Linked DNA regions of Nothobranchius furzeri. The protein of the gene in region 3 interacts with the protein of the main gene of each other region in a pairwise test. Links are inferred from orthologs where the notes say so. Each region holds a gene or a part of one and is shown on either strand. Other genes may lie near its edges.

The links.
Region 1: the proteins of txlna (region 3) and vps52 interact in binary tests that used the Homo sapiens proteins (3 or more experiments, as listed by UniProt). The two-hybrid records come from large-scale screens. The link is inferred for Nothobranchius furzeri from reciprocal best matches to the Homo sapiens genes TXLNA and VPS52.
Region 2: the proteins of txlna (region 3) and hypk interact in binary tests that used the Homo sapiens proteins (3 or more experiments, as listed by UniProt). The two-hybrid records come from large-scale screens. The link is inferred for Nothobranchius furzeri from reciprocal best matches to the Homo sapiens genes TXLNA and HYPK.

What each region holds. Positions count from the first base shown.
Region 1 is NC_091759.1:11,199,975-11,207,662, forward strand, and holds the start of vps52 (vacuolar protein sorting-associated protein 52 homolog), read left to right. Parts: upstream 1-3,685; 5' UTR 3,686-3,762; coding exon 3,763-3,858; intron 3,859-4,331; coding exon 4,332-4,413; intron 4,414-4,553; coding exon 4,554-4,606; intron 4,607-4,717; coding exon 4,718-4,793; intron 4,794-5,085; coding exon 5,086-5,153; intron 5,154-5,254; coding exon 5,255-5,430; intron 5,431-5,522; coding exon 5,523-5,673; intron 5,674-5,792; coding exon 5,793-5,893; intron 5,894-6,099; coding exon 6,100-6,232; intron 6,233-6,316; coding exon 6,317-6,372; intron 6,373-6,551; coding exon 6,552-6,687; intron 6,688-7,502; coding exon 7,503-7,658; intron 7,659-7,688. Other genes in the region: rps18 (small ribosomal subunit protein uS13), read right to left, coding at 1-28, 1,116-1,207, 1,332-1,433, 2,595-2,681, 2,783-2,881, 3,454-3,456. UniProt on the Homo sapiens protein: Acts as a component of the GARP complex that is involved in retrograde transport from early and late endosomes to the trans-Golgi network (TGN).
Region 2 is NC_091749.1:30,007,076-30,014,763, forward strand, and holds hypk (huntingtin-interacting protein K), read right to left. Parts: upstream 4,051-7,688; 5' UTR 4,006-4,050; coding exon 3,844-4,005; intron 2,554-3,843; coding exon 2,498-2,553; intron 2,395-2,497; coding exon 2,343-2,394; intron 2,122-2,342; coding exon 2,026-2,121; 3' UTR 1,918-2,025; downstream 1-1,917. Other genes in the region: mfap1 (microfibrillar-associated protein 1), read left to right, coding at 27-296, 386-545, 843-932, 1,429-1,608. UniProt on the Homo sapiens protein: Component of several N-terminal acetyltransferase complexes. Inhibits the N-terminal acetylation activity of the N-terminal acetyltransferase NAA10-NAA15 complex (also called the NatA complex).
Region 3 is NC_091751.1:3,228,753-3,236,629, reverse strand, and holds the start of txlna (alpha-taxilin), read right to left. Parts: upstream 4,480-7,877; 5' UTR 4,467-4,479; coding exon 4,367-4,466; intron 3,967-4,366; coding exon 3,787-3,966; intron 259-3,786; coding exon 1-258. UniProt on the Homo sapiens protein: May be involved in intracellular vesicle traffic and potentially in calcium-dependent exocytosis in neuroendocrine cells.

The DNA.
Region 1 (7,688 bases), on a different chromosome or scaffold from region 3:
CTTGGTGTGCTGACCGCGCACACGCAGCCTGTAGGACAGGAAGTGTAACAAAAGTCAGAACAGACGATTTAGTACAGTTTCAAACTCTAAATTTGCTCCTGTTGGGCCAATTTACAGGTTTTCCTTCAAAGTAATGCAACTGTTTTTGGTTAAATCAGTTACACCAAGCTACATTCATAACTAAACTATTCACAGCATGACAGAAATAACAGGCATTCTGTTCAATCTAAGGTTAAATTAGATCAGGAAGCTGCAGCCATCAAAGTCAGGATTTCTGCCTAAAAATTTGAAACTTTTTTTCTCTAAAACTGGTAATTATGTTTGTTTGGGTCAAAATTACTGTAACAAAGTTAAACTTTTCCCACAAAATCCTGCAAAGTTACAGTTTTACGCAGAGAAAAGTTTCTACCCCAGTAACGACGTGTTTAAGCTTCTTAAATGAAGAGTTTCTCAGCAGCAGTTCAAGCTCTTCCAGGACAGGCTTCCTATGTTTACCCTCATGTCTCAGAGCAGCTGTTCCTTAACTCATTCACTGCCATTGACGACTAAAGTCGTCATTTTAAATCCAACCATTCACTGCCAATGCATGTTTTTACTGTGTGGGCGTCGGACGAGCCCCCGCACCGTGAGAACAAACATCTCATCTCTAAAGCTGATCTACATCTGCGTAAGTCACACGTTACGTGATCAGGAAGCAGGAGTGTTAGGAGATCGTTTTGGGCCACTGCTGTCCACAATTCAACAACGGATTATGAAAGAACGGATAACGCTCGAAACACGCGGAGTCTTCCTGATGTAAGAGGTGAGACTCCGCTTTGTTTTGGTTGTTTTGGAGTCGACATCATCCTAGTGTGCAACGTTCTGTGACTCTTAAAAAAAACAGTAAAAACGGTGAGAAACGCCAGCAGCGAAGGGCTTTACTGATCAGGAAACGGCTGGCAGTGAATAAGTTAAAGAGTTGAACACCTTTTGGCTGACTCAGCATTCTTAACTGTAGCTTAAGTACAGACTAAAAATGCACCAGTCAGATAACTGACGGGTAAAGCTGAGGAAGCATCGATGACGTTTCTCCTCTTCACTGGACAAATTAAAGTAAAGACTCCATCAGATCTTACCCCCAGAAGTGTCTGAGACCACGGTGAGCCCTGATCTTCTTCAGCCTCTCCAGGTCTTCTCTCAGTTTGTTGTCTAGACCGTTGGCAAGGACCTGAATGACAAATCCAACATTTGCTGTTAGTTTATGTGAAAAAAATTTTTAAGAACAGTTAACACAGTTTAAAATAATGGTTTAACGATTTAGAGCCAAACTGACTCAGACTGCTGTCACTTGCCTGGCTGTATTTGCCATCCTTGACGTCCTTCTGCCTGTTCAGGAACCAGTCTGGGATTTTGTACTGGCGAGGGTTCTGCATGATGGTCACCACCCGCTCCACCTGGGAATTAAAACCAGTCAGTTTAGTTATTTTGTCTGGTAAAACATCAGGTTCAGCTACTAACCAACACAATTATCTTTCCAATTAACTCATTCACTGCCAATGACAACTAATGTCGTCACTTGCATGTTTACTTGTTTTTGCGTCTGAACGAGCCCCCACACCGTGAGAACAAACACCCCAGCTCTAAAGCCGATCATCTGCGTACGTCATATGTAATCAGGAAGCAGAAAACCCGTGTGTTAGGAGATCGTTTTGGGCCGCTGCTGGAAAAAAAGAAGTGAGGCGCGAACCAGAAAAGCTTCTGCCGATCACAATTTGACAACGGATTATGCTCAAAACGCACGGATTCTTCCCGATGCAAGAGGTGAGTCTTCTCTTTGTTTTATCAGTTTTGGAGTTGACATCATGGAGCGCAACGTTCAGCGAATCTTAAAATACAGTATAAAACGCTGAATAACACTGGCAGCGAAAGGCTTTACTGATCTGGAAACGGCTGGCGGCTGGCAGTGAATGAGTTAAGTTAGTTAGGTAGTTACAAAATCATGCAGTTTTTGTTCTGAAGCCAACAACATTTTAAAGAGAAAGATACCAAGTTAAAAGTTGTTAGAAATCCTGCATATTTGGATTTGTTGGTTGATAAAATCACTGCAAAGTTCACTTACTAACAATCAAACATTGAAATTAACAATGTAGTCATCCCTCTCCTTTTTAAACTACCAGGAACCCACTGGTTCGGTTTTGAGCAAGTTCAGAGCCGATTTCACAAGTAAAACAAAAAAATAAATAAAATACACAAAAAGGTGTACATATTTAGACCATTTTTTTTTTCAGAAATCAGTTTATCTCAATGCTTTAGCAGAGGTTTCCTGTGAACATCCAATCTTCATGCTGGAACACAAACATGGTTGTACACAAACTCTCCTCTAGTCAAGACACCTAAACGGCACCGACAACAGCAGCAGTAACAACTTTTACTTTAAACGACTGCAAACTACCCAGCTGTTTGTGACGAAAACTACTTCTGATCTCTCAAACCTTCACAGCACCACCACAGCCGATTTCCCCTCCACCATCTAAAAACTTGCTCTCCTGGAAGCAATTTTTTAAATGCACCACGGTTTTAGAATTGCAGAAACGGTGCAGGTTTTCTGTTCTCACCTCCTCCTCAGTCAGCTCTCCAGCCCTTTTGTTGAGGTCAATGTCGGCCTTCCTCAGGACTACATGGGCATAACGTCTGCCAACACCCTTAAACCAGACAGAATCCAGTCTCAATGGTAAAAATCAGGCAACACAAACATTGAGTCTATTAACAAGAAATTTAAGTGGTATTACGAGACATAACATACCTTGATGGCAGTGATGGCGAAGGCAATCTTCCTCCTACCATCAATGTTCGTGTTGAGAACACGAAGAATGTGCTGGAACTTCTCAGGGATGACCAGAGACTGAAAACAGCACAAGTAAAACAACAACGATCAAAAACAGTTTTAACATTCTGTACAGACCCAGTACTCCACTAAAATAACTAAAATAAACCATTAATACACTCATCTTTACAAACAGGCAACGAACTCAGTATGTTTAACAAAGCTGCTCAAGGAAAATAACTAGTCTACTGCAACTGTCATGCTTTTGGCTCCTTTGAGGCTCATTAGTATGGCTAGCTAAGCGCTAGTAGCTTTGAAAAATCCCTAAAACGTATAAGGATTACAGAACATAGGGGAAAATAACATAGCTTATTTGAGCTTTAACTGCTCCATTATACGTATAATTATGTTAAACAAAAATCAACTTGCGCTACTCCGCTTCTACCGGTCCCCACTGTCTGCTAGCATTGATGGCAAGTTACGTTGAAATAAGTCAAAATCAACAGACATAACATCAGCCATATCACTAGAACCAACCCATACAAGCTGCATATAAATTATACCGTGTTTATAAACAATGAACAAACAAGCACAACGAAGGATGAACGTGGATTTCAAATCTACTCTGGTTTAAGATATACCATACTGACCATCTTGGAAGTAGGTTCCGTGCAAAGAGGAAGGCGCTTGTTTCTCGCGAGATTTTGGATCAGTTTTTGCCGGAAAATGATCCTTCATTTAAAAATGTCCGATAAGCAACTGGGTTTGCTAAACAAGTACATAAATTGCTAAAATACGTGATGCTAAAAAAATGTTTGATATCGTTATTGTACGTATTTATATCAAGCGACCTGAAATTTGAGATCACGTTTTTTTATTTCAAAACAGAATAAACATTTCGAGCTTCAGTAAGCGGAACTTTCGTTTGTTGTGCTTACGTTAGCATAAATTTCGCAGCCATGGCGGATGCTGTTTTGGGTTTTGTTGGAGCTGGTTCTGATGTAAATACAGGAGGAAACTCAACACAAAATGTCATGGCGTACCTACAAGACGAGGTGACATTTCATTATTATTAGTAGTGCGGGTCTGATTTGAAGAAACAACGTATTCAGCTCGTTAAAGTCTGTTGACAACTAATCATTTGATGAATCGTCATGAACCATGTCCCTTATCTCAAATGTTATTAATTTCTTTATCAATCTTCACCTGTAATTTGCTATAAATCTAAAGTTTGTCAAGTTTGTATGTGTAAGGTCTTAACCAGGAAATACAGTACCCATTAATTGTATGAAACTGTCGCATTTTGATAAAAATTAAAGTTATATTTATAAGAAACAGGAAAAGCAACTTTATTATGAGCTATGTTCATGAATATCTTGTATATTTTCTCGTTTCCAGTTTTTTTCAATCAGATTGTTGTGCAAAACAAAAAATCTTATGTAATAAAATAAATAGAAGTTGGAGTCCCCTCTCAAGTATTTGAATTTATTTTTATTATATGTGTGATTCTGTTTGTTTCTTTTTGCAGAAGACCGATGGAGACATCACCAACCTGAGCCTGGGAGAGCTGGACATCACCACCGATGAGTTCATCTTAGATGAAGTGGACAGTAAGGGCGCAGTTGCACTCAAGCTTTACTCATACACATCTGTTTTAGAACTTTCATGTCTGCTACTTCCCATCTAGCCTTGGGTTTCTGCAATATTCTTTTTTATTTTATTTTATTTTTTCATTTTTATTCTTTTATAGTTCATATTCAGGCCAACCTGGAAGATGATCTTGTGAAGGAGGCACTCAAAACGGTAAGTCCTGTCATGTCAGTTAATTGTACTTCACTACCAATCCATGAACGATTTGCTGTCACATTTCCTATGATATACTACTAATATGCGTCCTCTTCTGTTCATTTCTAGGGTGTTGACCTCCGTCAGTATTCCAAGCAAGTGGAGGTGGAGCTGCGGAAGATTGAACAGGCATCAATCAAAGACTGTATCCTTCACAGCTCATAATTTACATGTCTTGATATTTTATCTGTCCTCACAGAGCTTCCTGCTTTTTCTTTATGTATGTGTCTGAGTGGCAGGGTCCCTCTTCACATGCAGTTTTTATTTTATCCAACATATTCAAAGTCATACTCAAATGTTTGTTTACATTCTGAGGTTAAAAAGTTGTTTTAAAGAAATAATTTGATGGAAGTCAGTCATACTTGCATGCTATTTTCTGCAGCCAGAAACCTAAATGAACTCATTCTATGTGGTTTCCCTGAACCTTCGCCTCGTAGACATTAAGGAGAGTCAGAACATTGCTTCTCTGCACAACCAGATTACAGCCTGTGACTCTATTTTAGAGGTGAGGCAGGATTTCTTCATACTTTACCCTCAGAAACGTTTGGCTCCACTGTCCAGAAAAACCTAAATCGGGGTAAGTAATGTTTTTTTCCCCCCTTTCAGCGTATGGAGGGGATGCTGAGCGGCTTCCAGAGCGACCTGTCCTCCATCAGCAGCGAGATCCAGACCCTGCAGCAGCAGTCTGTCAGCATGAATGTCCGTCTGAAGAACAGGCAGGCCGTTCGCAGCCACCTGAGCCAGCTGGTGGATGAACTGGTGGTGCCTGGAGCCATGATCTCGTACGTTTAACAGCTTCTGATTATTTGTAACAATGCTGTAGGAAATGTCACGTGTTGATGTCTTGTTGCTGAAGCTTTTTGGATCGTTCCAGCACCATCCTGGAAAGCCCGGTGACGGAGCAGGAGTTCCTTGAGCAGCTTCACGAGCTTAACTCCAAAATCAACTTTGCAAAAGAGCTGAGCTTCAGGGAGACGCTGGCCTGCTCCGACATCCAGGACATCGTTGATCGCCTCAAAGTCAAGGTGAATCACAGAAACCGCTGTTGGAATTAACAATAATAATAATAATAATAATCACTGAAGGGTCACAGAAGTTCATGTTCTGAGTTTAAATGACACTAGAATCACTTTTCCTTCCTTAGGCAGTGTCAAAGATCAGAGAGTTTATTCTACAGAAGATCTACTCCTTTAGAAAACCGATGACCAACTATCAGATCCCACAAAACACTTTGCTAAAATACAGGTGAGCCTTCGGTAAATGGAACGTTTTGTGGACCGTTTAGTTCCTGACGCAGTTTGACGTGGATTAAATCCATTAAAAGTTTCTAATTCCAGCCTAACCTTTGGAATTTGGAAGGAACTGTGAACACGTTTTTATATTTCTAATTTGTGAAATTAAAAAAAGATTCAACCAGAATTACATTATTGCCTGTTTTTGTTCTGTTGTAGATTTTTTTATCAGTTCCTTTTGGCCAATGAGAGAACCGTTGCTAAGGAGATCAGAGATGAGTATGTAGACACCATGAGCAAGATTTACTACAGTTACTTTAAGTCCTACAGCAGCAGACTTCTCAAAGTTCAGGTCGGTGGTTTAGTATTCACATTTTCCGTTTAGTTGAAAGTATTTTGTGTTTTATGTGACCCGATGTTCTTTGTCCTGCTGCAGTATGAGGAGGTAGCCGATAAAGATGACCTGATGGGGGTGGAGGACACCGCCAAGAAAGATATCCTTTAAAGCTCCTGTTTGCCTCTTCATCCATGACCTGATGATGTCACTTGTTTATGTTAAACAAAACAAAAATGTAAATGAATAAAAAACAGCATCCAGCGAGACAGGAGAGCAGTCAGGTCATGTGACCTACCGACATCTGAGAGTTTGAGGCTCCTTGACTCTCAGCTCCAGGTTTCTTCTCCAAACCGTCTTTGAAGAGCAGGAATACCATCTTCACGTTGGGCCAGAGGGGGGCCATACTGAGTCCTGCAGAGCTGGAGGGGCCCATCCTGGTTCCGCACACGGCTCAGAGGGGAGACAGCAGAGTAAGACGTGCACACGTTTAAAAAAGTTTAAATAAAATGCCCAGAGTCTCGGTTAGAGATCGATTTGATGGTCTGGTGTGATTAACTCATTCACTGCCAATGACGACTGAAGTCGTCATTTGCATTTTTTTACTGTGCGGGCATCGGATCGAGCCCCCGCACCGTGAGAACAAACATCTCGGCTCTAAAGCCGATCTTCGTCCGCATGCGTCACACGTCACATGATCAGGAAGCAGAAAGTCCATGTGTTAGGAGATCGTTTTGGGTCGCTGCTGTAACAAAAAGTGAGGCGCGAACCATAAAAGCTTCTGCCGATCACAATTCGACAACGGATTATGAAAGAATGGATAACGCTCGAAACACGCGGATTCTTTCTGATGTAAGAGGTGAGTCTCCGCTTTGTTTTGGTTGTTTTGGCGTCGACATCATCCTAGCACGCAACGTTTTGTGACTCTTAAAAAAAACTGTAAAAACGGTGAGAAACGCTGGCAGCGAATGAGTTAAAGAGTAAGAAGAAAGAAATATAAATTAGTGATGGGACTCGATTAATTTTTTTTATCTAATTAATCTTGATTAATCACATTTTAATCATTCAAGACAGTTTGCGCCCAAGTAATTTTTTTGAATACTTTCTGGTCCCCAATTGGGGGACGCTCGGGCTCAAAGGGTAAAATTTAAACGCTTTATTTATTTATTTATTTATTTTTTCCAAATGAAATAATCGTAATTAACACATTAAATTTCCTTCCCTGATCTAAATATCTGTAACTCTAACTGGATTGTAATCATTAGTTGTGTAATCGTGTGTGTTCCAGTATCCCTACGAGACACTGTTTCGTAGCCAGCATTACGCTTTGCTGGACAACGGCTGCAGAGAATTCCTCTTCCTGTCCGACTTCTTCATGGTGATCGGAAACTCCGCCTTCGATCTCTTCAACAGCATCATGGGAAAAACGCTCGGAATGTTCCTGGTGGGAACGCTTCCCTTTGAGCATCATTTT
Region 2 (7,688 bases), on a different chromosome or scaffold from region 3:
TCAAATGTTTTTTTTTTGCACTGCAGAAAGGACAGAGTCACTGTGGCAGAGCGCGAAGCCGAGGAGCTGAAGCAGCGAGAGCTGGAGGCCGAGGCCAAGAGGCAGGCAGAGGATCGGCGGCGCTACACCCTCAAGATTGTTGAGGAGGAGGCTAAGAAGGAGTTTGAAGAGAACCGGCGCTCGCTGGCTGCACTGGAAGCTCTGGACACTGACGGGGAGAATGAAGAGGAGGAATATGAAGCCTGGAAGGTCCGAGAGCTGAAACGCATCAAGAGAGACCGAGAGGCCCGGGAAGCGTAAGTAAACTGCAGGATTCCAAAGGATTTATGGTGAAAGAGTGATGCAGTTCTCTTCAGGACGGTCATTTGTGGTGTTTTGTTGTCAGAATGGAGAGAGAGAAGGGTGAAATTGACAGATTCCACAATATGACGGAAGAGGAACGCAGGGCGGAGCTACGCAACAGCGGCAAAGTCGTCACCAACAAAGCCTCCAAAGGCAAATACAAGTTCTTGCAGAAATACTACCACAGAGGAGCCTTCTTCATGGTGAGTCCCAGCAGACACAAGAGTCCTTTTCACGGGATTGTCACCAGGATTCATAAAAAAGCAAATTTTTAAGACAACCAAGAGATTTTCCTAAAATCTTCATTTACAGCTGCAGTGTCTTTTCTTTGACAATTATTGTGTGATAAAAACGGCGTACCCTTTCTTATAACACCTTTATTATTTAGATGTCTGTAAATGACAGGAAATCCCACCAGATTCTGAAGGAGGTGATCGTTTGTGATGGGTCACCAACAGGTTATACGTGTAGGGATTTATTGTGTGGTTTTTGTGTGTTAGGATGAGGAGGAGGATGTTTACAAGAGAGACTTCAGCGCTCCTACACTGGAGGATCACTTCAACAAAACCATCCTACCCAAAGTCATGCAGGTGAGACCCTTTCGTCTTGGGGTGCAACGAAATGAAACTTTGGGCTGATGTCGATATTGTTATGGCTGATAATCGATATTTGTCGATGCGACATATACAGGCTGACATTTATGCTTCTGAAGTCAGCAGATTTTATGGAGACTTAAAGTTATGTAAGCAGAAATTTTGGACGTCTTTCTTTTTATATATATTCAGTTAATATCGGTCCAGTTGTCCTTATCAGACCGATACCGATATGTAAAACATAGATATTGATGCCGATATGTCATGCATCCCTGCTGTTTTTTTGGACCACAGGTGGGGTTTGAAAGTTCATCTTTGGAAAAAAGATTGAATTTCTCATGACCTTTGAACTAGCTTGTCATCTAAATGTGCTTCAGTCCCGCTGTACATGTAGCCTTTGTGTGTGTCACTGGTGTGAACGTGGTAGAAATGACACTTTTTGTGCACATTAAGGTGACATCCCCACAATTGTAACTTATTTTCTTCCCATTAGGTCAAAAACTTTGGTCGGTCAGGACGCACAAAGTACACCCACCTGGTGGACCAGGACACCACGTCATTCGACTCTGCGTGGGCCCAGGAGAGCACTCAGAACAGCAAGTTCTTTAAGCAGAAGGCAGCAGGCGTGAGGGACGTGTTTGACCGACCCACGGTGAAGAAGAGGAAGGCATAAGACGCCTCTTTCCAGTGAAGAGACTGAGGATGCTACTTGTGTTCTTGTGGACTTTGTTGGGGAAAAAGCAACAAAATGATTCTGCTTTGATGTTTTAACCAAAAGGATCCAAACCTGTTTAGAAATTTAAGGTTGCAGCTGAAACATTTCCTGGACAAAAGTAGACAGCCAGCTGAAACCTGCAGCTTGTGTGGAACTCTGTAAATAACCTTATTGTGATGATCAGTTTGTGGGTTCCTCGCCCATTTTGTATGAAACCGTGATGTTTCAATTAAAGATGTTTTCAGTTATTTTACACACGGACACAAATAAACAACGAACCTTTATTTAAAACTAAAATACAAAAACGATGGAGTTGATTGAAACAACAGTTAAAACTGCTCATTGAGGAAAACAGTCCGGTGTGTTAATGTGTGTTCAGTTGGTCAGAGCCACCAGAGCCTCCACCACGTTCCCCATGTGTTCCCTCAGGCTGCGCTCTGCCACGGTGCGCGAGATTTCCATTTCACACATCTGCACAGAGATCAGAACAAATTAAAGGTTTGAACCAGCTTAAATCAGAAGTCACCTAAAATATCAAACTCGTAAGCCTTTAAAAAACACATGGAACATACCCATGGAACAAGCTTAAATACTCTGAAGCACTAACCATTACATTCATCTTGTTTCAGTATCATGTGTGGATCGATGTTTAATATTATTCTGTACAACATTTAAAAACAGCAAAAACTTACAATCAGCTCCACATCTTCTTTCTTAATGGTGACCTTCGCCAGCTCCTTCTCTCTGGAAAAGCAGCAAAATAACATGTTCTCAGTCTCATTTACCGTTTAGTTTGGAAAATACTTTTCTAAACCTAACAGAGTCAGAGGTCTTGAACTCATCTTACCTCTCCTGTTTGGCTTTCTGTTCTCGTGACCTTCGGTCTCCGATCACAGACATGGCCTGCAAAAATGTGTAAAACATTGTCATAAGTTTTGTAATTACCTTTTGAGAAACATACAAAACCTCATTTTAGTTCCATTTCCTGTATTTGTTTAAAACAGCACTGATGGTACAAACATTTGCTGCCTACATAAATAAATATCATTTTGTTTCCAAGACTTTATTAAATCAGGAAAAAAAAAAAGGTACACACAATGTACATTTCAAAATATCATTAGCCCTTCATCTTCATGCCAACAGTGTTTCCTTCCACACAGGCTGCTGTGAGTTAAGGGTAAATAAATCCACTTGGGTTTCATCTGTCTAAAGAACATTGTTCCAGAACGCCGTTTGTTCAGATGAAACTTCACTAAGCTAAGCTGTGATGCATTATTTTTATAGAGGTTTTCTCCTGAACTAGGCCACAGGACAAGCTGAAGATCAGTTGGGGAAAGAGAAGTCTGGCCTTCCCTCTGGGACCTGTTACCTTTACAACCTTATCTTTGATGGTTTTCTGTAGAATGATGGATAGTTGATCATCATGTCATGTCATGATGACTAGCAGCATTTACTTCTGCTGGGGCATCATTTTAGTGCTTTTTCTTCCTAGACCGTGTGTTAACACACATCTGACCTGTATGCTCCAATGCAAACACTTTCCACTTGTGATCAGTCAATAGTGTCAGCTCTCAGCTAAACTACAGTTTTAACAATTCAAAATATTTTTTTCCAATGAGTTATTCTGAACCTTATATGTCAGCATTGCCTAAAATATTGTCAAATAGTTGCCTTAAACATGTTTGACTTGATGTTTTGAACAGTTTGAGTTATAGTTTCATGCTTGGGCACATACTGGATGAAATTTGAATTAATTTTACCCCTCTTCCACTCAGATGAGTGTTTAGCTAACTCTCAAGATAGCTACCTAAATCAATTAGTATCAATCTGTTCTACCAAGTTTATTTATTTGGTTATTTTAAAGTTAGGAAACGGAAAAACACAATAATACAAAGATTGCAAGTAGAATAACCAAAAGCTGAAGATGAAGCTTCGCCTGCTGTCTCTAGCTTTTTATGCCTACCCCATATACACAAACTTCTACTTCAAATTATCATAGAAATAAATATAAAATAATGAAATAAAATGTTTTTTCTGTGTTCAATCAGAACACAGAGAAAACATAAAATGACAAAAATGTTCATTTATACAGGAAACAAACCGTTATTTGTAATTATTTAGGTCTTTAACTCTTGACAGTGAACGCATCAGCGGCCGCATGTTTCCGGGGGAGCCGTTAGCCACAGGTCTCACCGTTTCTAAATCAGAGCTGGAGATTTCCTTCTCCTCCGCGTAGTCCGTGACTCTCTCCAAATCCGCAGCTCCGCTGTCATGTTTCCGAGGCTTTTCAACCGGCTTTCCAGTGCAGTTTTCCTCGGCTTCGAGGTCCAAGTCGACGTCTCCCTCCGCTGCCATGTTAGCTTCACTGAGGTCGGAACAAAGAATAATTAAAGTAGTTGTCGGAAGGATTACGAAGCCGTACCGGAAGTAGAATTTAAAGGGCCATAACAAATCTTTATAATAAATAGATAATAAAAATGACTTCAAAGTGCGTATGCTAAGTAAATTCATGACAAAAATGTGCATGCATTTCTGTTAATGTAACATTATAATAATAGTAAACGATCATATAAAACGTAAAACACTTTTGTTCAGGGCAAAAGAGTTTACGCAGTCGTTTTAAAACTTGCTAATATGTTGGAGCCGTGAGCAACAGTTTCCGGATGATCTCCACAGAAGCTGCAGTTAACATAAATATTTATTTGAAGATTTAAAATAAAAAAATATATATTTTACAATTATTTTGAAATTTCATTATATATTGCTTTACAGGGTTTATATTGGCTACATTTTAATACATACTGCATACTGACCGCAGTTAAAGTAGCTCATGGTAACAATGAACATTTCTAATAGTTACATTGTTTTGTGGAAGAAAAAATATGTATTATGATGTCATTATTTACACATGTAAAATACAACAAAACGTTTCTTCAATATAATAATAATAATAATACATTTTCTTTGAAGTGCTTTTCAAAAAACTCAAGGTCATTGTACAATAAAAAGAATAAAACATTCCAACAAGCACAAGGACAATAAAAACTAGTCAATTTAAAACCATGATAAAACAGATAAAATACAGATAGGGGAATATGCAATCTTGAACAGGTGAGTTTTGAGTTTGGCCTTGAAGTGTAGCGGTATTTCTGAAATCAGCTGGTAATGTATTCCATAGGGAGGGAGCAGATCTGCTGAATGTGCGACTTCCCATGATAACAAGGTGTATATATATATTTGTAGAGAACTCTAAAGCTCTCTACACCAGGGGTGTCAAACTCATTTTAGCTCAGGGGCCACATTGAGGGAAATCTAGTCCCAAGTGGGCCGGACCGGTAAATAAAAAAAAAACTTCAGATTGTTTTCTTTGTTTTAATACAATCAATATAAAACAAGGCTGGAGCCTGAGGACAGTGTAGTACAAGTACAACACCTGAAGTGTACTTGAAAATTTGAAAAAATTAAAAAAATCAACAAATAAAAATACATTCCTTAGTGATTCAAAGAGCTTACAGATCACATGGCTAGATCAGTTTCATGCAGCACTTAAAGTATATTTGACTCATTTTACTTAACATCGTTTAGCTTTCACCAGAACATCAATATCAGAAGTCCCATCCTGAGTGGCGGCCAACTTCAGGATGTGATTCAAGTTCTTGTGTGAGCCTTGAGCGCAGCTTTGTTTTATTTATACTCATTACAGAGGAAACTTGCTCACAAAGATAAGTTTATTTTCACTCTACATTGTAAAGTATGAAAATAAAGTTTACACAACCATCTCGCGGGCCAGATTTAACCCGCTTGCGGGCCGGATGCGGCCCGTGGGCCGCATATTTGACACCCCTGCTCTAAACAATACAATTATTTAACATGACACACATTTAAGAAAATAAAAGCTTTAACTATTATCGTGCAAGATTACAATTCCTACTGTTTAAACCATAAAAAACTCAAATTGAACTAATGAAAAAAAATACAATACATAGATTTGATAACATTTGTGCACACCTGGTGTTTAATTTAGGACACACACACACACACACACACACACACACACACACACACACACACACACACACACACACACACGCACACACACACACACACACACACACACACACACACACACACACACACACACACAGCTGCCCTGGGGATCACTGATGAAGCAAAGGGTGCCAAGCACAGGCTCCACCTGTCCCTCTGACCAACGCCAGCAGGCAAGAAAGGTGAAATGTCTTGCCCAAGGACACGATGGTAGCGACATACTGAGTGGGCTTTGAACCTGCAGCCCACTGGGTGGGTTCTTAACCCTTCTGCCACCATCGCCCCAATAAAAGTCCTAAATGAGCCAACTCACATCACACAGAGTTATGTACTCTGTCATCTCTGACAAACCTAATGCTTTTTAAAATGCCCCCTCAGTACCGACTTCATGCCTCCTTAAAATTAACAAACAAATAAATCAATAAAATCAAATTCCCCGCCTAGAGTTCTGCTAAAGTTGGCAGCCCCACATACACAATTAAAGAGCATTTTGTCTTCATAAACATGACCCACTTAACAAATAGATTTAATTACTAGATACACGTAGACGGGATTTCAGATGGTTGATTCTACCTTGAGGTAATTGTTACACGTACAATACTATAACCTATACTTGTTATTGCTGACCTCAGCTAACTCGGTACAATTTGAACAATGAAAACCAAACATTCATTGTGTTATTTCTAATAAATAATGAGGAAAAAGACAATAACTGGATTAAGTGACCCTCTTACTGTCTGGATTACTAAATCACTCTGTGTTCTACCTTGTTCTATTCCTGTCTGTTTTAAGAGGTTTATTTGTCCTTCAATTACACATATCCTGTCTCCAAACGTTTTCAGGCTTTTCGTGCACTTGAGCTTTAACAATCCACCCACTGTAACAAGATTAAGAGAAAGGGAAACCCGTTCAAGCTGTCTGTCCAGAGCAGGGCTGGAAACTGCGTCAGTCACTTTAGTTTGGAGATGTGTGGGGCTGTGAGAGGCCTGGAAAATGGCATCCGGTCCGGAGAGGAGTCACTGTCGTCATAGAAACCGCTTTATTCTGCTCTATGACTGATGGATGTTTGACTGTTTGGACCCTGCAGCATTCAAGGCCTCAACAATATGACAGGACACTGGTTTCAACCCCAGGTGAGGCAGACACTGCTCTGAACTTTATCCTGATAGAGAAGCTCCAGTAGTTTTAGTATTTACGTCCCCACCCAGCTCACTTTTAGAGCTAAATATAAAATGAAGCAACCTTCTTTTCAAATGCTTCACATACATGGAAGGTGACAAAAAATAATCATTGAATCAAAAATAGCTGAAATATTTTGGATTTTTGTAAGTAGATGATGTGTTTTACCTGTCTCTAAGCCTTGGGGCCTCTTTTCCTAACTTGTAATAGGCGTATCTTCAGACATGCCCAGGTGATAAACATCTCAGAACATTTCTTTACAAAGTTTTGTAAAACAAGCTGGCAGAAGATGGATTTTGCATTCAACAGGACTACAGATAGAGACAGGTGACAGGTAAGTGATAGTAGAATCACATTCAGATCATCTATAAAGGAACGCTTGGTCTGGGTTGACTGCATCTTTTGACTGAAGGTAGTTGAAGGAGCTCCAGCTTGTTTGACTATTTTAGATGGTTTAGTAGAACGTAGACAAGGCCTGGTCTGCTGTGATCAAATGCAGGACACATCTAAACAGCCACTGATTCTATCATTCAGGCAGTGGATATCGGTAAAGTCGGTACCTAATTTGATGGATGTGGCCGCTCTCAGCACTAGTGACTGTATAATCTTAGAATGAATTCCTGGTATAAACCAGCTTTGGAGGTTCTTGGAGGTTCTCGCTGTTTTCCACTTCAGCTCAGATTAACTCAGTTCTGTCATGGTCTGTGTCTGTGTCTCTTTGTGTTCCTCTTGTGTCCCCTGGTCTTCAGCCCTCCAGATATTCCCTCAGGTCCTGTGTTCCTTCAGTCTCCCCACCATAATTCCCATAGGCC
Region 3 (7,877 bases):
GCTCTTTCTCAGCACCGCTGTGACCCCCGTTGACTTTTTCTGCCTTTGGGTTGTCTCCATCCTTCTCACACATCAGCCCGTTGAAAACTGGGCTGTGAGACTGACCGTTGAGCAAGGCACTGGCTTCGTCTGAAATGGTTTCACTGCAGTACGTGCTGAGGATGTCCTCCAGCTGCCGGCTCAGCTCCTCAGCCATGTCGCGCTGGGACAGGGGCGCTGCTGCAGCCGGGGGCGCTAACGCTGACCCAGGCAGAGTTTCTACCAGAAAAACATTCAAATAGGATTTCAGAAACTTCCTGGAACACGTTGCATGAAAGGGGATTTAGTTTGTGACTAAAAAACTTACTATTATGGCTTATGAGGTGGACTTCAGTCCTCCGCTGCTGTTTATTCTCTGCTGTCGCCCACCGAACTACAATTCCAACTTTCTATCGGAATTTTCTGATCTTTTAACAGACTTTCTTCCAAAATATGACCGTGGGATTATGCTTGGTGATTTTAATATACATGTTTGCTGCCCTGACAAACCTCTTGTTGGTGGCTTTTTAGACATTTTAGATTGTTTTGGTCTCCAGCAACAGGTCCAGTCACCCACCCATTCAGGATCGCACGTTTTAGACTTGGTTTTGTCATTTGGGATCTGTATCTCGGATCTGACTTTTGACTCTGCATGTATCTCTGATCATTCTATTATTATTTTTAATATCTGTGGCTTGACACCTCCATCCACTAGGCAACATAATCAACACCTCACAAGAATAATTTCCCCTTTTCACCACCAATCTACTAGCATCTAGCCTAGCTGTGACTCTATGCACTTCCCAACCTGATTCCACCTGTGTAGGAGCTGCTGACCTCTTTCAACTCTACCTGCTCAACTGTTTTAAATGCAGTCGCTCCTCTAAGATCCAGGCATAAAAAACTGTGGCAGACCCTTGGCTCAATGAGGAGACTCGTGCCCTAAGACGCCAATGTAGGGTCTGCGAACGCCGGTGGCGGAAGGACAAGCTGCAAATCTCCTACCAGTCATTCAAGGATCCTTTGACCCGCTATCAGAAAGCTGTCCGCACAGCTAGAAACAGATATTTTGCAAATATAATCACTAGGCATAAAAACGACCAGAAGAAACTGTACAGTGTCCTCACCTCTGTACTATCGCTTAGAGAATCTCCCAACTCTTGTCCCTCTACAGGGGCTCTTTGCAATGAGTTTCAAAACTTTTTCCTGCATAAAATCCAGGAAATTAGAACAGCTTCTCTTACTCAGGCTGGGTTACCTGTGTGGAACCTCACTGTCCGCCCTCATTCTCTTGCTTTGCTCATGTGACACCCTCTTCCCTGGTTGATCTAATCTTGGCTATGAAGCCCTCAGGCTCTCCAGAGGACAGCCTTCCTCCAAGACTGCTGCGCGATGTCCTTCCAGCGGTGGCCCCTGCTGTTGTGTCAATTCCAGCTTCTCCTCTGGTGTGTTTCCAGCTGCTTTTAAAAATGCCGTTGTTCAGCCGCTACTGAAGAAACCAGGCCTTGACCAGTCTGACTGTGCCAGTTATCGCCCAATCTCAAAACTTCCATTCATCTCAAAAGTAGTTGAGAAACTGGCTCTCACGCAGCTTACTTCTCACCTAGATGACAGTGGGCTTCTTGACCCATTCCAGTCAGGTTTTAGACGTAATTACAGCACAGAGTCTGCACACATTCAGGTACTCAATGACATCCTGATTCTGACTGACTCTGGCTCCCATGTGCGGTTACTCTTACTCGACCTGACCGCAGCATCCTACTTCACAGACTCCAATTTTGGGTGGGTGTGACCGGTACTGCCCTGGAATGGTTTAAGTCGTACCTTAATGGTCGGTGTTTTAGTGTTCATGTTAGAGACTGCTCTTCTCCCAATGTCCCACTTCCATGGGGAGTACCACAGGGCTCCATCCTGGGTCCTCTCCTCTTTTCAATTTACATACTAGCACTTGGTAAGATTTTAGCAAGTCTCGTCGGGGTTAACTACCACTTTTATGCAGATGATTGCCAGATCTACCTTCAAATCAACCAACAGCACTCATTTTCTATAATGTCAGAATGCCTCTCCCAGGTCAGATCCTGGCTTTCTCAAAACTGCCTACGGTTAAATGACAGCAAATCAGATGCCATACTTTTTAGCCCCACTAACATGAATGGTGCTTTAGATGTCTCAACTCTCCCACTCAATCTCAAATCAGGTGCCACTAGCCTAGGTGTGACACTGGACTCTGACCTTTCAATGTCTTCACAAGTCAACGCTACTGTCAAGTCCTGCTTTTTCCAACTCCGCCGCATCACTCGTCTTAAGTCAATCCTCAAACGCCCGCATCTTGAGTCAGTCATTCATGCTTTCATTACTTCACGTCTGGATTACGCAAATTCTGTCCTGATTGGGATTAATGCTTCAGCCTTAAGCAAACTGCAGAAGGTTCAAAATGCCGCGGCCAGATTTTTAACCAACACCGACAGACGCATGCACATCACACCCATCCTCGCAGATTTACACTGGCTCCCAGTCTAATTTAGGATTAACTTCAAGGTCCTGTTATATGTTTACAAGGCTTTGTACTGCCCATCCCCATCCTATCTGATGGACCTGCTGACCCCATATGTTCCCACCCGTGCCCTTCGGTCAGCAGATCATCTGCTGCTTGTTGTTCCGAAGGTTTGGTACAAATCACGGGGGGAGCGTGCCTTCTCTTATTCAGCCCAAAACTCTGGAACTCCCTGCCCCTCCGTGTGCGTCTGGCTCCCTCTGTTAGCAGTTTCAAGTCGGCCCTGAAAACGCACTTCTTTAGCATTGCCTTGCCTCCGTGACACTTTTCATGACAATCTAGCACCGGATTTGAGTTTTTAATTCCATTTTTATGATTTAGTTGCTCACTTTTGGCACCTCGCACCATCTGGTATTTTATTTCGGTTTATTTGGGACATTTCAAATGTTTTTATTATTCGTCGCATTATTTTATTTTTATAGTGCTGTTAACTGTTCTATTTTATGGTTTTTAGTAGGAATTTTTATCTCCGACTATTTATGCTTTGTTCTTATGTTTTTTGCCTGTTCTTATTGTGGTTCTTGGTCAAGCATTTGGCTTTTTTTATGTACAGCACTTTGGTTAGCTGCCATGCTATTTTGAAATGGTGCTTTATAAATAAATAAATATGGTATGGTATGGTATGTGTCCCACACAGTCACGCGGAAAACTGTTGGGATTCATTTGTTTATGATGTGCCTTCTAAAAGGAATCGCACTTGAGGCATTAAAACAATTATCACAATATCATCAAGGACGTGATGGCCTACTTTTATTTAAATGTTGAAGTAAGTTTGTTCTTGACACAACGTTACAGTAATGAGAAAATACCCCAAAACTAATTTATTATGGATCTCTTAACCTTAAAAACTCTTGTTTATTAAACTGTGTGATTGTGTTTAATGACATCAGTGCATAAAATAACTTGTCGGCAGCATCAGGACATATAACAATAAAAATGACATAATCTAGATATGTATGGATTGAGTACACGTGAAGAATGAAGACCATTTTATTGTACAAGTAAAGCTTTGATTGCATCAATAAAAGTTTGACTTCTAGTATGTTAATCTTGAAACCAGATGACATCAGGTATTACTGACAAGATTCTCCACTTCAGTCTGATGACAACCAAACCATTAATTAGGTTTGTGCTGTTTCATCTAATTTGTTCTAAAACTGAGAATTCACACAGTGTGACGGACGAGTAAGAAAGTCAAACCAAAGGCAGTTCACCTCCGCTTTCCCCCTGCTGTTCCTGTGGTGGAGGGCCAGCCTGTGGCTCCATCTCTCTGGGGCTGCTGCCTTCAGCAGGTGCAGGTGGAAGTGGAGCGTCCGTGTCTCCAGCTGCAGGTGGAGGAGCCTCGCTGCCCGGGCTGGTAGACTCTTCCGTGTCTTGATTTTTCATGTTTAGCTCTTTGAATAAAAGACGAAACTAACGCTGAGTCTAAATAAGGCTTTGACAATAAAATACACCAACTGTTCAGACGATAAAGTTCTTTAAAATCACGCATAAAATCGAAAATATTAGCACGTTTCTGGATACATAGACATGGCGTTTATGTACAAAACGGAAAACAAATGTGTACTTTCACTTCGGACCATTTTCAGTTTCCATTAGCTTCCAGATTACATTAGCTGGCACAGGCTAGCCCTCGTTAGCAGTTACGCACGCAGCTAAAATTGTCTTGAACTACTTTCACCCAACCGGTGTTACTTTGTACCATAAAAGAAAAAACAGAAAACTACTAAAGCTATGGCGACGCGAAACGTTACCTCATTCCCCTGACTCTACGGTTAACACAGACTTGTTTACCTGAAGACTCCAGGAGGAAACGGCTAATTTTTCTGAGCTGCAGGTTTCTTGAACAGCGTGTAGCTGACTGGCTTAGAAAAAAAAAACAACTTCCGGTCATAACTTTGATTCTTCTTCTTTGACTTTTCAATGGTGGTTTCAAATGGTGATATGGTGCATTACCGCCACCAACTTCTTTCTGCTATGTAAAAAAAAATACTAGCAAGAAAGTGATAAAACTGGTAAAAACCAATTAAACATTTATTGTCATTGCAGAACAGCTGTCTTGTAAATTAGTAAGACTATGGTTTACATGTGGCCTATGCTAATATAAAATTTAAGGTTTAATAATAGTAAACAGCAAGTTCACCTACTAACAAAAATGCATTTTATTTAGAAAAAATTACAGCAAGTGTTTGTACTAACTACTGAAATTTTATAAATGTAGTTCCCTCTTCCTCCCTGGGCTGCCACCTTACCGTGGTGGAGGGGTTTGAGTGTCCCAATGATCCTAGGAGCTAAATGAGGCTTTATGCCTCTGGTAGGGTTACCCATGGCAAACAGGTCCTAGGTGAGGGATCGGACAAAGAGCAGCCCAAAGACCTCTTATGATGAATAAAATAAATGGAAACCGTGTTCCCTCGCCCGGACGTGGGTCACTGGGGCCCCCCTCTGGAGCCAAGCCTAGAGGTGGGCCACGTAGGCGAGCGCCTGCTGGCCGGGTTTTCACCCATGGAGCCCGGCCGGGCACAGCCCGATGAGGAAACGTGGGTTCCCCTTCCCATGGGCTCACCACTCGTGGGAGGGGCCAAAGGGGTCAGGTGCAGTGTGTGACGGGTGGCAGACGAGGGCTGGGACCTTGGCGGTCTGATCCCCGGCTACAGAAGCTGGCTCTTGGCACAAGGAATGTCACCTCTGGTGGGGAAGGAGCCTGAGTTGGTGTGTGAGGTTGAGAGATTCCGACTAGCTATAGTCTGACTCACCTCAACGTATGGCTCTGGCTCTGGAACCAGTTTCCTTGAGAGGGGCTGGGCACTCTACCACTCTGGAGTTGCTCCCACTGAGAGGCGCCGAGCAGGGGTGGGCATACTAGTTGCCCCCATCTTGGTGCCTGTACGTTGGGGTTTACCCCGGTGACTGAGAGGGTAGCCTCCCTCCGCCTACGTGTGGGGGGACGGGTTCTGACTGTGGTCTGTGCTTATGCACCAAACTACAGTTTAGACTACCCACCCTTTTTGGAGACCTTGGAGGGGGTGCTGGAGAGTGCTCCTTCCGGTGACTCCCTCGTTCTGCTGGGGGACTTTAACGCTCATGTGGGCAACGACAGTGAGACCTGGAGAGGTGTGGTTGGGAGGAACAGCCCCCCTGATCTGAATTCGAGTGGTGTTTTGTTATTAGACTTCTGTGGATTGTCCATAATGAACACCATGTTCAGACATAAAGGTGTCCATATGTGCTCTTGGCACAGGATACCTTAGGCCGCAGCTCGATGATCGACTTTGTTGTTGTTTCATCTGACTCGGGTGAAGAGAGGGGCCGAGCTGTCTACTGACCACTACCTGGTGGTGAGTTGGCTCAGATGGTGGGGGAGGATGCCGGTAAGACTAGGCAGGCCAAAACGTATTGCAAGGGTCTGCTGGGAACGCCTGTCAGAAGGAGCTTCAATTCCCACCTCCTAACTTCCAAAATGTTCCGGGGGAGGCGGGGGACCTTGAGTCTGAATGGACCCTGTTCCGTGCTTCCATTGTTAAGGCGGCCAACTAGAGCTGTGGTCGCAGGATCGTCGGTGCCTGTCGTAGTGGCAACCCCCGAACCCGCTGGTGGACACCAGGCACCAAGGCAAAAACCCGGGTGTGGGAGGAGTTCGGTGAGACCATGGAGCAAGACTTCCGTACAGCTTCGAGGAGATTCTGGTACACCATCCGGCGCCTCAGGGGTTGAAAACAGCGCACTACCAACACTATTTATAGTGGGGACGGTGTGCTGCTGACCTCTACTCAGGACGTTGTGGATCAGTGGGCAGAATACTTCGAAGACCTCCTCAATCCCACCGACACGTCTTCCAGCGAGGAAGCAGAGTCTGGGGACTTTGAGTTGGGCTCTCAAATCTCTGGTGCTGAGGTCACTGAGGTGGTTAAAAGGCTCCTCTGTGGCAAGGCCCCAGGGGTGGATGAGATCCGCTCCGAGTTCCTTAAGGCTCTGGATGTTGTGGGGCTATGTTGGCTGATATCGTGTGGACATCGGGGGCAGTTCCACTGGACTGGCAGACTGGGGTGGTGGTTCCCTTATTTAAAAATGGGGACCGCAGGGTGTGTTCCAACTACAGGAGGATCACACTCCTGAGCCTTCCTGCTAAGGTCTATTCAGGGGTTCTGGAGAGGAGGGTCCGTCGGATTGTTGATCCTCAGATTCAGGAGGAGCAATGTGGTTTTCGTTCTGGCCGTGGAACACTGGACCAGCTCTATACCCTTAGGGGGGTCCTGGAGGATGCGTGGGAATTTGCCCAACCAGTCTACATGTGTTTTGTGGATTTGGAGAAGGCGTTTGACTGCGTCCCTCGGGAGGCCCTGTGGGGGTCCTTCGGGAGTATGGGGTACCAGGCCCTCTAATACAGGCTGTTAGGTCCCTGTATGACCGGTGTCAGAGCTTGGTCCGCATTACCGGCAGTAAGTCGGGCTCGTTCCCAGTGAGAGTTGGACTCCGCCAAGGCTGCCCTTTGTCACCCATTCCGTTCATAACCTTTATGGACATGATTTCTAGGCGCAGCCAAGGTGTTGAGGGCATCCGTTTTGGTGGCCTGAGGATCAAGTTTCTGCTTTCTGCAGATGATGTGGTCCTGTTGGCTTTATCAGAACGTGATCTTCAGCTTTCGCTGGAGCGGTTTGCAGCCAAGTGTGAAGCAGCTGGGATGAGAATCAGCTCCTCTAAATCTGAGACAATGGTCTTGATTCGGAAAAGGGTAGAATGCCTTCTTCGGGCCAGGGATGAGGTCCTGCCCCAAGTGGAGGAGTTTAAGTATCTTGGGGTCTTGTTCACGAGTGAGGGAGAACTGGAGTGTGAGATCGACAGGCGGATTGGTGTGCATCTGCAGTGATGCGGGCGTTGTACCAGTCTGTCCAACACATTCTCACACCCAAGGCGTCAAAATATGCCTCTTCCCCTCAATATTAATATTCCCATCCATCATCACCTGTTTATCCAGGGCCAGGTTGCTTGGGCAGCAGCCTATGCGGAGAGGCCCAGACTTCCCTCTTCCCAGTTACTTGGGCCAGCTCCTCCAGGCGAATCCCAAGGCATTCCCTGGCCAGACGAGAAACACCTTGAAACGTCCCTCCAGTGTGTCCTGGGTTTTCCTTTGGGTCTCCTACCAGTTGGACGCACGCGGAAAACCTCACCAGGGAGGCATCCTAAAGATGCCCGAGCCACCTCATCTGGCTCTTTTTGAAGTGGAGCAGCAGGTTCATTCCAAGCCGCTCCCGGATGACCGAGCTTCTCACCCGATCTTTAAGGGAAAGCCCAGACACCCTGTGGG